3 linked regions of the Rattus norvegicus genome follow. The protein of the gene in region 3 purifies or fractionates together with the protein of the main gene of each other region. This does not show direct contact. Links are inferred from orthologs where the notes say so. Each region holds a gene or a part of one and is shown on either strand. Other genes may lie near its edges.

What was found.
Region 1: the proteins of Cdk1 (region 3) and Cdc25b purify together in Homo sapiens (affinity purification with western blotting; 4 studies listed by BioGRID). This does not show direct contact. The link is inferred for Rattus norvegicus from reciprocal best matches to the Homo sapiens genes CDK1 and CDC25B.
Region 2: the proteins of Cdk1 (region 3) and Samhd1 purify together in Homo sapiens (affinity purification with western blotting; 3 studies listed by BioGRID, with this or other methods). This does not show direct contact. The link is inferred for Rattus norvegicus from reciprocal best matches to the Homo sapiens genes CDK1 and SAMHD1.

The regions. Positions count from the first base shown.
Region 1 is NC_086021.1:138,866,665-138,870,316, reverse strand, and holds the end of Cdc25b (M-phase inducer phosphatase 2), read right to left. Parts: intron 3,590-3,652; coding exon 3,497-3,589; intron 3,066-3,496; coding exon 3,003-3,065; intron 2,842-3,002; coding exon 2,743-2,841; intron 2,557-2,742; coding exon 2,423-2,556; intron 1,631-2,422; coding exon 1,519-1,630; intron 1,365-1,518; coding exon 1,224-1,364; 3' UTR 30-1,223; downstream 1-29. UniProt on the Homo sapiens protein: Tyrosine protein phosphatase which functions as a dosage-dependent inducer of mitotic progression. Directly dephosphorylates CDK1 and stimulates its kinase activity.
Region 2 is NC_086021.1:166,193,794-166,197,445, forward strand, and holds part of Samhd1 (deoxynucleoside triphosphate triphosphohydrolase SAMHD1), read right to left. Parts: intron 3,214-3,652; coding exon 3,058-3,213; intron 1,302-3,057; coding exon 1,201-1,301; intron 1-1,200.
Region 3 is NC_086038.1:19,275,187-19,278,169, forward strand, and holds part of Cdk1 (cyclin-dependent kinase 1), read left to right. Parts: intron 1-235; coding exon 236-406; intron 407-2,406; coding exon 2,407-2,570; intron 2,571-2,660; coding exon 2,661-2,802; intron 2,803-2,983. UniProt on the Homo sapiens protein: Plays a key role in the control of the eukaryotic cell cycle by modulating the centrosome cycle as well as mitotic onset; promotes G2-M transition via association with multiple interphase cyclins.

The sequences.
Region 1 (3,652 bases), on a different chromosome or scaffold from region 3:
TCAGCAGCTCCGCATAAACGAACAGATTATTCAACTTGCTCAGTGCTTTATTGAACCAAGGCCCCAACAGAGGATGCATTGGGGGCCTTCCAGCATGACCTTTTCATATGTAGATTCTGAACCCAAAAGTTGCTTCTTCCTCCCTCCCCTATGACAATATTTCTTTAATATTTCCAAATGCTAAGTGTAAAGACTTTGTACACACACACACACACACACACACACACACACACACACACACACACTCCTGCCATAGGCCATCATGCTTACCAAAATACTTCACTCGATTTGTGTGCATACATGTGTACAAGGCACTGTGCATCCATGACCATCCAACAAAGGGCCTAGACTCTGTCACTAGTACAGCAACACGGAAAAACCATGCATACTCAGGACCAGATATGGAAAGAAGGACAGAGAGGGACAGGGAGGGACAGAGAAGGACCAAAAAGTGAAGCTCAGTGACTGGTTCATTGCCCAGCAACAAGTGCTGACCAGCGAGGCTCTAGGGTTCACAGCAGTGAGGATGGGGCTCCCAGAGGCTCCTGAATCAGGCCTTTGCTCTAGCTCTGGGGGTCTTAAAGGAAAAGATCCCTTTGTGGGCTAACAAAAGCCAAGCCTAATGAGTACATGATATTTGAATCTCTAGTCCCCAGCTGTACAAGGGAGCCTCCCCAGCTGTCAGTGTGTCCTGGGACACGCTAAGTGAGACAGACGAAAATGAAAGCTATGGGTAAGACGACAACAGGAAAAGTAAGCACTTATGCTTCCAATGGAGGAATCTGTGCAGAGGCCAGGAGAGGAGAGCAGACACAGCCCTGTGCAGCAGTGTAGCGTCCTGCATCCAGGCTACCCAAGAAGCTACTGTGCTCATCTTAAAGGGCTGAGGCTCTCCCTGCGAAGGGGTAAGACAAGGAGTCAACACAAACAAGGAAAAAGGAGATTGTAAAAGGGCTCTCATTGAACACAAAGGACTTCCTCTTAGCTGGTATTCACCCATTGGTTCAGCTCTTTAAGATGGGATCAGTACCAAGATACAGAAAATTAGTGGAGTGAGACAGGAAAATTGAGGACAGGGACAGACAGATGTGACACCACACCATCCCCCCAACCCCCTATAGCACCTGAGGCCTCTAGCAAGTAGGTGGCCGCATAGGCCCATGGGACCCACTGGCTCGCAAGCCTCCTGAGGTAAGGATGGTGGCAGGACTGAGGCTGGCTCGTCACTGGTCTTGCAGCCTGCTACAGAGTTCCCTCCTGCTCCGTTCCCCAGCCCAGCTGCGTGTCTTGAGGCGGAAGTTCCTCAGCTCATCCCGGAAAGCTGCATGGTTCATGGGTCGGTAGTCCTGGGGCTCACAAAAGTTCTAGGGGATGAGAAGATGAGAAGAGTCCATCAGTATGGGAGAAAGAGTAAGTTCTGGGGGCTGGGGGTGGGGGTATGGGTAGGGCCTATAGCCTAGTTGGGTCCTGTTCCTACAGTCCACGATGGGAGAGCTGTGACCATCCCACCCATGGTACCGGATGCTGCGGGAAGAACTCCTTGTAGCCGCCTTTGAGGATGTACATCTCAGGGTAGTACAGGCTGGGATAGTCGTTAGCTGCACGGTCCCGTTCCCTGATGAAGCGGCACCTGGAGTATCATGGGAGGTGGTTCAGGGCAGGTCGCATGCCGGAAAGAGACCATGCCCTGTACACACTGCATTAAGAGCCCCCACGTGCACAGACTTCTCAGCACAGGCATGTCACCTGCTAGGCAAGACTGGTTACTAGGTAGCAGACACTGGGTACAGCAACATAGAAAAACCACATATACTCCAGGGTCTCCTGGATCAGAGGTGGTAAGGACTCAAGGGAAGATGGGAAGGGAGGATCGGAAAGATCAAAAAAGTGAAGCTCCGTGACTGGTCCATTGCCCAGCAAGAATCATATGAGAAAACTGGAACCCTGTGCTAGAGGGGTGAAGTTCGTGTATAGGGAATGGGAAGGAGATTCTGGTCCGCTGAGACAGATGCTAACAGCTGCCAGGTGGAGCTGGTGGCCACCCTGGACCAGGAGGCAGAAGAATAACCATGAACACCGGGACAGAGGAAAGACGGCTGAAGGAAAGCAATGGACCCCAGTGGTCGTCAGCACAGTAGCAGGGTTCCAAGTGCTTGAGTGTCACAGTATCCTCAGATTTTAAGGATGCTACTGTACTTGGCACTACGTTTTGTGGGTATGCAGCAACGGACCGAAGACGGTCTGATGATGTGGGTGGAAGGAAGACAATGGTAAGATACGTCGTCTACAACAGGAGAGCTGAGGTCAGCTCTAAACTATCACATGCAGCAAGATGCTCTGGCACTCAGTACCAGGCAAAGAAAGCCGAGGGTGGGCCCCGGCTGGCCACTGACCACAAGGATGGGACAGAGCTAGGACTCACATCCGTGGTCCACGCTCAGATGAGAATTCACAGTGGAAAATGAGGATGATTCTCTTGTCCAGGTTACAAGGCGTGATGGGATGCTTCAGCAGAAAGGTCTCGGCATCCGGTTCCAGGGGCAAGTTCACAGCATTCTGTCAGAGGATCTGGGGGTCAAGCTGAAGCCTGCACCATGGCCCTTCTTGTTCAGTTCCCAGGTAAGTAACCCCACCTCTTGCTGAGCAGAAATCCTCCCCATAGGAAATTCACCATGGAAGGCTATTCATCTTCTCGGCAAGGAATCTGAATGGAGGGCCTGGCCTTACCAGCACCCGTCTCACCTTGATATGCCCGCCTTCATACTCATAGGGGTATCTGCAGTCCACAATTACAAACTTCTCCACGATGTTGCTGAACTTGCCTGTCAACAGGGCCACCATCTGTAGGAGGCCATCAGGGTTGGTGCCAGCAGGTGAGACTGTAGTCAAGGTTTTCCCTCTCTCTTCCGATAGTCTATACATGCAGCCCATCCCCAGAGGAAGACAAGAGCCAAGAGAAGGTGGTCCCCAATGCACCTGGAGAGTGGCTCAACCCTGCTTACAGTTTCTGGTGAGATGTACTTGAGGTCTTGGTGTTTGCCATCCACAGTCTGCAGGAGGAAGGCCTGAAGGGAGGGATGAGGCAGAGTCAGGGAAACACATTGAGACACAGAGACTGGAAGGACAGAGGCAACACCGGCCTCAGCCTTCAGATTCAGCTGAGTGAAACCTCTGGGGGCCTGCACCCAGGGAACAACCTTCTGAGGGTAAAAGAGGAAGGAAAAGCCCTAGACCTTCTTGCTTCCTGCTCTTGGGTTTGAAAGCCGAAGGCTGAGGCAGGAGATTGCATACCAGAGATTGATTTGGAAATGTTTTTCGAGGATGAGATGCCTGGACAGATTTGAGGTGGCATCGGAAGGGGACCCAGAGGGAAGAGTCTGCATGAGAACAAGAATGAAAAGACACAGAGGGAAGGGGGGACCTCTGGGGACAGATGGGTCCTGCATTAGGGCTCCAGAGCGGGTGAAAGAAGCCTCCTGAAGCCCTAGAATGCTACCTTAGAGTAATCTCCAATCAGGCCACGGTGGTCACTGTCCAGGATGCTCTCAATCTCGTGACACAGGGACTTTGAGCGGAAGACCCGGGCCTTCTGGAAAGTAAGGCAGACGGAGGCCAGGGTGAGGGAAGAGACTGCCTCTCAGTGCTGTTTGGT
Region 2 (3,652 bases), on a different chromosome or scaffold from region 3:
CCTTTCTTGTTTTAACTCTGAACCAAGTTTCAGATGTACCAGCTGACAGAACGCTGGTCGGAGACTGAAGAATATGCTGAGGGGCACAGGGTGATAACTGAGCCAAAAGTCAGTGGGGAAATTTTCTGGAAGATGTTAGGGGATTGGCTACAGAATAAAAGACTAGAAAGCCATCACCAAGAGACAGTGTGTGGACGCTGGGTTATGGATTGTAAACCAATAGTAACAAGGCAGTTATGAAACAGCGAGGGAACTTTAAATCCTAACCCTATGTTAAGTAATATCTTAGTCAGGAGTGATGGAGCACACCTTTACTCCCAGCACTCCGGAGGCAGAGGCAGGAAGATCTCTGAGTTTGAGACTGGTCTGATTTACACAGTGAGATCCAGGACAGCAAGGACTACAAAGTGAAACCCTGCCTCAAAAAAACCAAAAACCAAAAAACAACAACAACAAAAAAACCCTTCAAACAATTGCAGAGTGCTTTTAGATTTAACAGGGACACTTTATTTACAGATCCACACGGACACGTTTTGCCACGAGATGCTCTGTAGCCTGAGATTTACTTCAAGTTAATGGGAGATCACTCAGGCGGCAAAGGCAGGCAGATCTCTATGCGCACTGAGGGCCAGACTGGTCTGCACAGTGAGACCCTGTCTTAAAATCAGAATAAAATAATGAGTGTAGAATAAACAAACAAGAAGATTGGCCACGGGAGCCAGAGTGTTGTGGCTCATGCCTTTAATCCCAGCACTTGGGAGGCAGAGGTAGGCAGATTTCTATGAGTCTAAGGACAACCTGGTCTGTGTAGTGAGTTCAAGGCCAGCCAAGACATATAGTGACACCTATGTCAACCAACAAAAGATCATGTACTGACGGCCATAGCAACATGAGGCACAAGCTCCCGGAAGGCCTTCATGTTGTTCTCGCTTATTACTAAAATCCTTCAGTAAGTTTAAGAACAAAGTCTTGATCGTGAAGAAGAAAGCAGACTGAGAAAAAGGGAATTTTTCCCAGTTCAAAATGAGACCATCTTCTACCTTGACCCAGCTTGAGAGCTAACCTGACACCCAGAAGAAGGAGTGATGGCGGCGCAGGAAGCGGACAGGATCACAGAGCCCAACTTCCGGTTAAGCCGGGTGAGCCCTACCTCTACATTTACACAAAGGTTTTTAGCCCTGTTTCTGGCTCAGTGCGTACCTGGCAAAATAGTCCCATTTGTCCACATCAATGCCATTTCTTTTGTTAGCCACTATCTCGTACAGGAAGCTCTTCTTGGCGGGGCGCCCCTTATACGGCCACTGGAAAACAAGAGAATCTCATGGAGGATTTAGGTAGACACGGATCTATTTATAAGCAACCGTAGCGATCTGCAGATTGTAAACGAGACACTGAAGTTTGAAGAAGACGATCTTTCTCCTTCTCGCTTCTAACGAAGTAGTGAGGAAAAGAAATGGTGAAGTGCACGCTATGCTCTGCTGGTAACACCAAGTCTCACAGCGGGAGATGCAGCTCTGGCGTGCACCAGTGAGGGTCAAATGTCAGGCACAAAAATAAACAAGTAAATCAGAAGTCTATAAAGGGTTGGTGGGATGGCTTAGCAAAGTAAGGGCTCTTGGGTTGGGGATTTAGCTCAGTGGTAGAGCGCTTGCCTAGCCCTGGGTTCCGTCCTCAGCTCCGATTTAAAAAAAAAAAAAAAAAAAAATCAAAGTAAGGGCTCTTGCTACCAACCTGACTACCTAGTTCTAATCCCCAGAACCCACAAGGCGGAAGGAGAGAACAGACTTCAGAAAACTGTCCTGTGACTTCTACATGTAGCACACACACAAACAGATAAGTAAAAGTGTAACTTAAATTTTTATATAAATGAAATACTGAGCCTTCCAGTGCTGCCGAAAGGGTACTACTAATAAATTTCCCCAAACCAACAATATTTTTATTTAATTATGAACTAGTAAAAAAAAGTTCCTTAAATGGCAAACCTCGAATTTATATATTAAAATAATAATGTCTTTCACTAGGTGTGGTGACACATATCTGTAATCTCAGCACCCAGGAGACTGAGGCAGGAGGATTATGACTTCAAAGTCAGCAGGGGCTACAGAGCAAGACTCCTCCCCACCCCTGCCCTGGGAAACAAAAACAATCCCTCCCTCTGTGTGCATACATGTGTATGTATTTATATATGTATATAAAAATGTTTCTCTTAGCTCCTCCTCTCCGATTTTGTTGTTGTTTTTACCCAGTAGCCCAGGCTATCCTGGAGCTCGCTCTATAGACCAGGCTGGCCTCAAACTCAGCTTTCTTTTTGTTTTGGACAGACTCGCCCTGAGTTCATTTTCCAGGCGAGGAAGAACTTCACCTTCACCTCTCTTCCTCCTCTTCCACCTCTCTATTGACAGACCACAATAACCATGTGCCAGCACAGCATCTTTCAAAACAGTACCCACATGTGCACACATACAAGATGCACCAGTACACACGTGTGCACACATACAAGATGCACCAGTACAGACGTGTGCACACATACCAGATGTACCAGAGGTCACAGTGCTCGGGTACAAGCCTGTGTCCAGCCATGCTTTTTATTTTTAATTAAATTTCTGTTGTTTTGTTTACTTGAGACAGGCTCCCCCTACAAAGGGCTGGCTGTCCTGGAACTGTCTATGTAGACCAGGCTGGCCTCTGCCCCTTGAGTGGTGGAACTAAAGGTATCTGTGACCAAGTATGGCTTTTGACATGGGTGATGGGGATCTGAACTCAGATACTCATGCTTACATAGCTCTCTTACCACTGAGCCATCGCTCCAGCCCAAGATGTATACGTCCACATTTTGATCCTCTTGCTTCTGCATCCCAAGTACTGAGGCTGCAGACGCTAACTATCGTTTGGGGGAAATAATGTCTAACGAACTCAAGATCAGGGGAAAAGACATCACTCGTATATATTAGAAGGCAAATGCATGTAACTTACATTTTAACATTTAGCACTCCTACAACAGGACCAGATCAGACAGGAAGTACAGTTCACTCTAATTAACACGAATTAAAAACTTACCAAGCAGTCTTTGACTGGTGATACAGGTGGTCCCATAATTTGTTCCTTGATAAAGGTAATGTCTTCTTCAGGGACGAGACCATAGTTCTTCATGACAAGTTTGAGTTCATTGGAGTTAACCAGATGCTCAAACATCTCAACTGAGCCCTGTTCATGCTGGGAAAAGTCAATATAACATGGCTTATTACGGATTCTCAACATCAGGGGCTCTAACTAAACAGATTGCTCTGGATTCTAACTGTCTAGTTTCCAACTACATTGTAACAGCTTTTAAATTAGTCAGTTTTTGTGTCACTATTTTACTTGTTTATAGAACATTTCCATTTGGTTGGTTGGTTTTTTGAGACGGGATCTATCTATGTAGCTCTGGTTGGCCAGGCACTTGCTACATAGACCAGGTTGGCCTTGAACTCACAGAGATCCACCTGTCTCTGCCTTCTGAGTGATGGAACTAAAGGCATGCGCCATCACGTCTAATCACAACTTATATTAGTTTTTAAAATGCGCAATGGGAGGGGGGTCTCGCTGAAGCGTTCTCACAGATACTTTCTCTTACTGATCCTCTTCCCCTGGTCTACAAAACCTTTTTATACAA
Region 3 (2,983 bases):
TTTGACTTAAAGACAGGGAACAAAATTTTAAATGCTCCTGTGGGATACATCTTTTGATAACACGCACACTGCATGTGTAAACAGGTTTCCTGTCTGCCTGTTTTATGTTAGTCTAAAGAGGCCTAAAATGTCTTGTGATAGCTATCTCTGCGTCATAATTTATTTTTTTCAGAACTTTTTCCTCTAGGAATCTTGTAGAATGATCAAGTTTCCGACTTGCTTGTTTCTTTTCTAGAGTTACTTGTACCAAATCCTCCAGGGGATTGTGTTTTGTCACTCCCGACGAGTTCTTCACAGAGACTTGAAACCTCAAAATCTATTGATTGATGACAAAGGAACAATCAAACTGGCAGATTTCGGCCTTGCCAGAGCGTTTGGAATACCGATAAGAGTGTACACACACGAGGTGAGCAAAGCCCTGAGATTGTGGTTGCTGGAGTGCTGCCTCTGGTCTTTAAGCCAAGAAAGAAATACTTGGTTGAAAAAAGTGTCTGCAGCTAAGCAGTGGTAGTGCACACCTTTATTTAATCCCAGCAGAGGCAGAGGCAGAGGCAGGAGAATCTCTTTGAGTTCAAGGCCAGCCTGGTCTACAGGGCATAGTCAGGCCTACACAAAGAAACTATGTCTCAGAAGACCAAAAAAAAAGTTCTGTAGTATCAGTTTATTGCTTTTTTTTATTATCAATCCGCTCTCGTTTATGTGGACTATAGAGATGGAATCTTTGGCATCGTTTGTCAGGGGAGATTGATTGCTGCCTCAGCCTCAGGGAAGGGGTTTATTGTAGTTTTTGGGAGTTCTCATTTCTCTGTATTGACCTTTCCCAGACCTGTGCTCCCTCCTGATTGGACCCTGCTGTGGTCATTCAGATCAATTAAAAAGCAGGTTTTGCTGTCTGAGGTACTGTGATTAGATTTAGGAGCCAATTAGTGCTAGCGGAGGGAGCACTGGGGACCGAACCCCAGCCTGTGCTGCCCGGATGTTCTGTCACTGAGCTGTGCCCTTGGCCTGTCATCAAGCTTTGTCAGTGGGATCTTGATGGCTGGCATCTCATATGATTGCTCTGTTTTATTATTTCCTCTGTAGTGGGGTTTGATCCACAGGCCTCACACACTCTGCCCCCTGAACTGTGTTCCTGCTCCTTGTTTTGAGAAAGTCTCACTGACTTGCCCCGGCTGGCCCTGAGGTCACTGGAGTGGATAGACTTTGGCCTTGGGACTCCTGCACTGGCCTTCCCAGTAGCTGGGATTGTAGGTCCACACCACCAGACTGGGTTTCTCTGGTATTTCTGGAAGGGCGTTGACTTAGGAACATTGGCGCCCGGGGAGTTGTGAACCTGGAGTTAGAGGGTCGGTCCCTCCTTGTGTCCTTGGGTTTTTGAGGCAGAGTTCTCTGTAGCCTTAACCGGCCTCATTGACTGGGTAGCTACCTGCTTCCGGCCTGCCTGCTTCCTGGGTGCTAAAACTGCACAGACGTGTGCCCTGCCGTGCCTGCTCAAGGCTGTGCAGGGCTCTGGTCCTGCACATGCTGCGTGATAGGGAAGCTCTCCACCCACTGTACTGGGGTGGCCTCTGTCTTGTCTATTCCATTTTATTTTTTTCACAGTTTATTACCATGACAGTTTGATGGCCGTAACTGCTGCTGACCTCATTGGTCACAGAGGTCGTAGATTCACTATTTTTTTTTTTTTTTTTTTTTTTGGTTCTTTTTTTTCGGAGCTGGGGACCGAACCCAGGGCCTCGCGCTTCCTAGGTAAGTGCTCTACCACTGAGCTAAATCCCCAGCCCCAGATTCACTATTTTGATAAATAAACTAATTAGTTCTAAATCACTAATCAACTGGGTCCCACCCACTTTGGCTTGGCTTAGCTTTTTTTTTTTTTTCCCTCTTTTTTGGAGCTGGGGACCGAACCCAGGGCCTTGTGCTTGCTAGGCAAGCGCTCTACCACTGAGCTAAATCCCCAACCCCTGGCTTAGCTTTCTTATTCATGGTAATTGGAGCTACCATTACGTGTAAACGTAATGCACACTTTGTCCAGCATCTTTCCTAAACCATATATTACTATTTAGTGCTTTTTCTTTAAGTTGAAAAAGAAAGTTGTTTTGTCTATCTGTCTGTCTGGCCTCAAACTCACAGAGATCCACCTTCCTCTGCCTCCAGAGTGCTGGCGTGCTGGGATAAAGGTGTGTGCCACCCGGGTGTGTACCCAGTCAGGCAAAAGCTGCTGTGGTCCATTGACTTCGGTGATCTGAAAAGCAAGGCGTTTATTGTTCTTACCCATTAATGAGCAGAAGTCAGACATAAAATACCTTCACCTTCGTAATTTGTATGTAGCCAATTGGCTTAAGTTCCCGGTGACACCAGCACAGCTTCCTAAAAGACAGCCATGTGTGATCTGTCTTGTGCCAGGTAGTGACGCTGTGGTACCGGTCGCCAGAGGTGTTGCTGGGCTCGGCTCGCTACTCCACCCCGGTTGACATCTGGAGCATAGGGACCATATTTGCAGAGCTGGCGACCAAGAAGCCGCTTTTCCACGGCGACTCAGAGATTGACCAGCTCTTCAGGATCTTCAGGTAACGGTGTTTTATGCCTAAGCTGTTCAGAGCCCATCGGTTAAATAATCAGGGCGCCGTGTATGTAATAGGGCTTTGCTTTCCTTTCAGAGCTCTGGGCACCCCTAACAACGAAGTGTGGCCAGAAGTAGAGTCCCTGCAGGACTACAAGAACACTTTCCCCAAGTGGAAGCCGGGGAGCCTCGCGTCCCACGTCAAGAACCTGGATGAAAACGGCTTGGACTTGCTCTCGGTAAGTGAGCTGTTCTTCAGGGTTCCATTGTGGTGCCCTTGCATGTTCGTAGGACAGGTGGGGGTGACAGAACATATTCAGTCCTGGACTTGGAAGTGGGCAAAGTCAGCAGTTGAGCCAGGCACCTGCCCCGTGTACTCGTGGTGACAGCTGCCTTTGAGGCATGAAGTGGTCTGAGGGG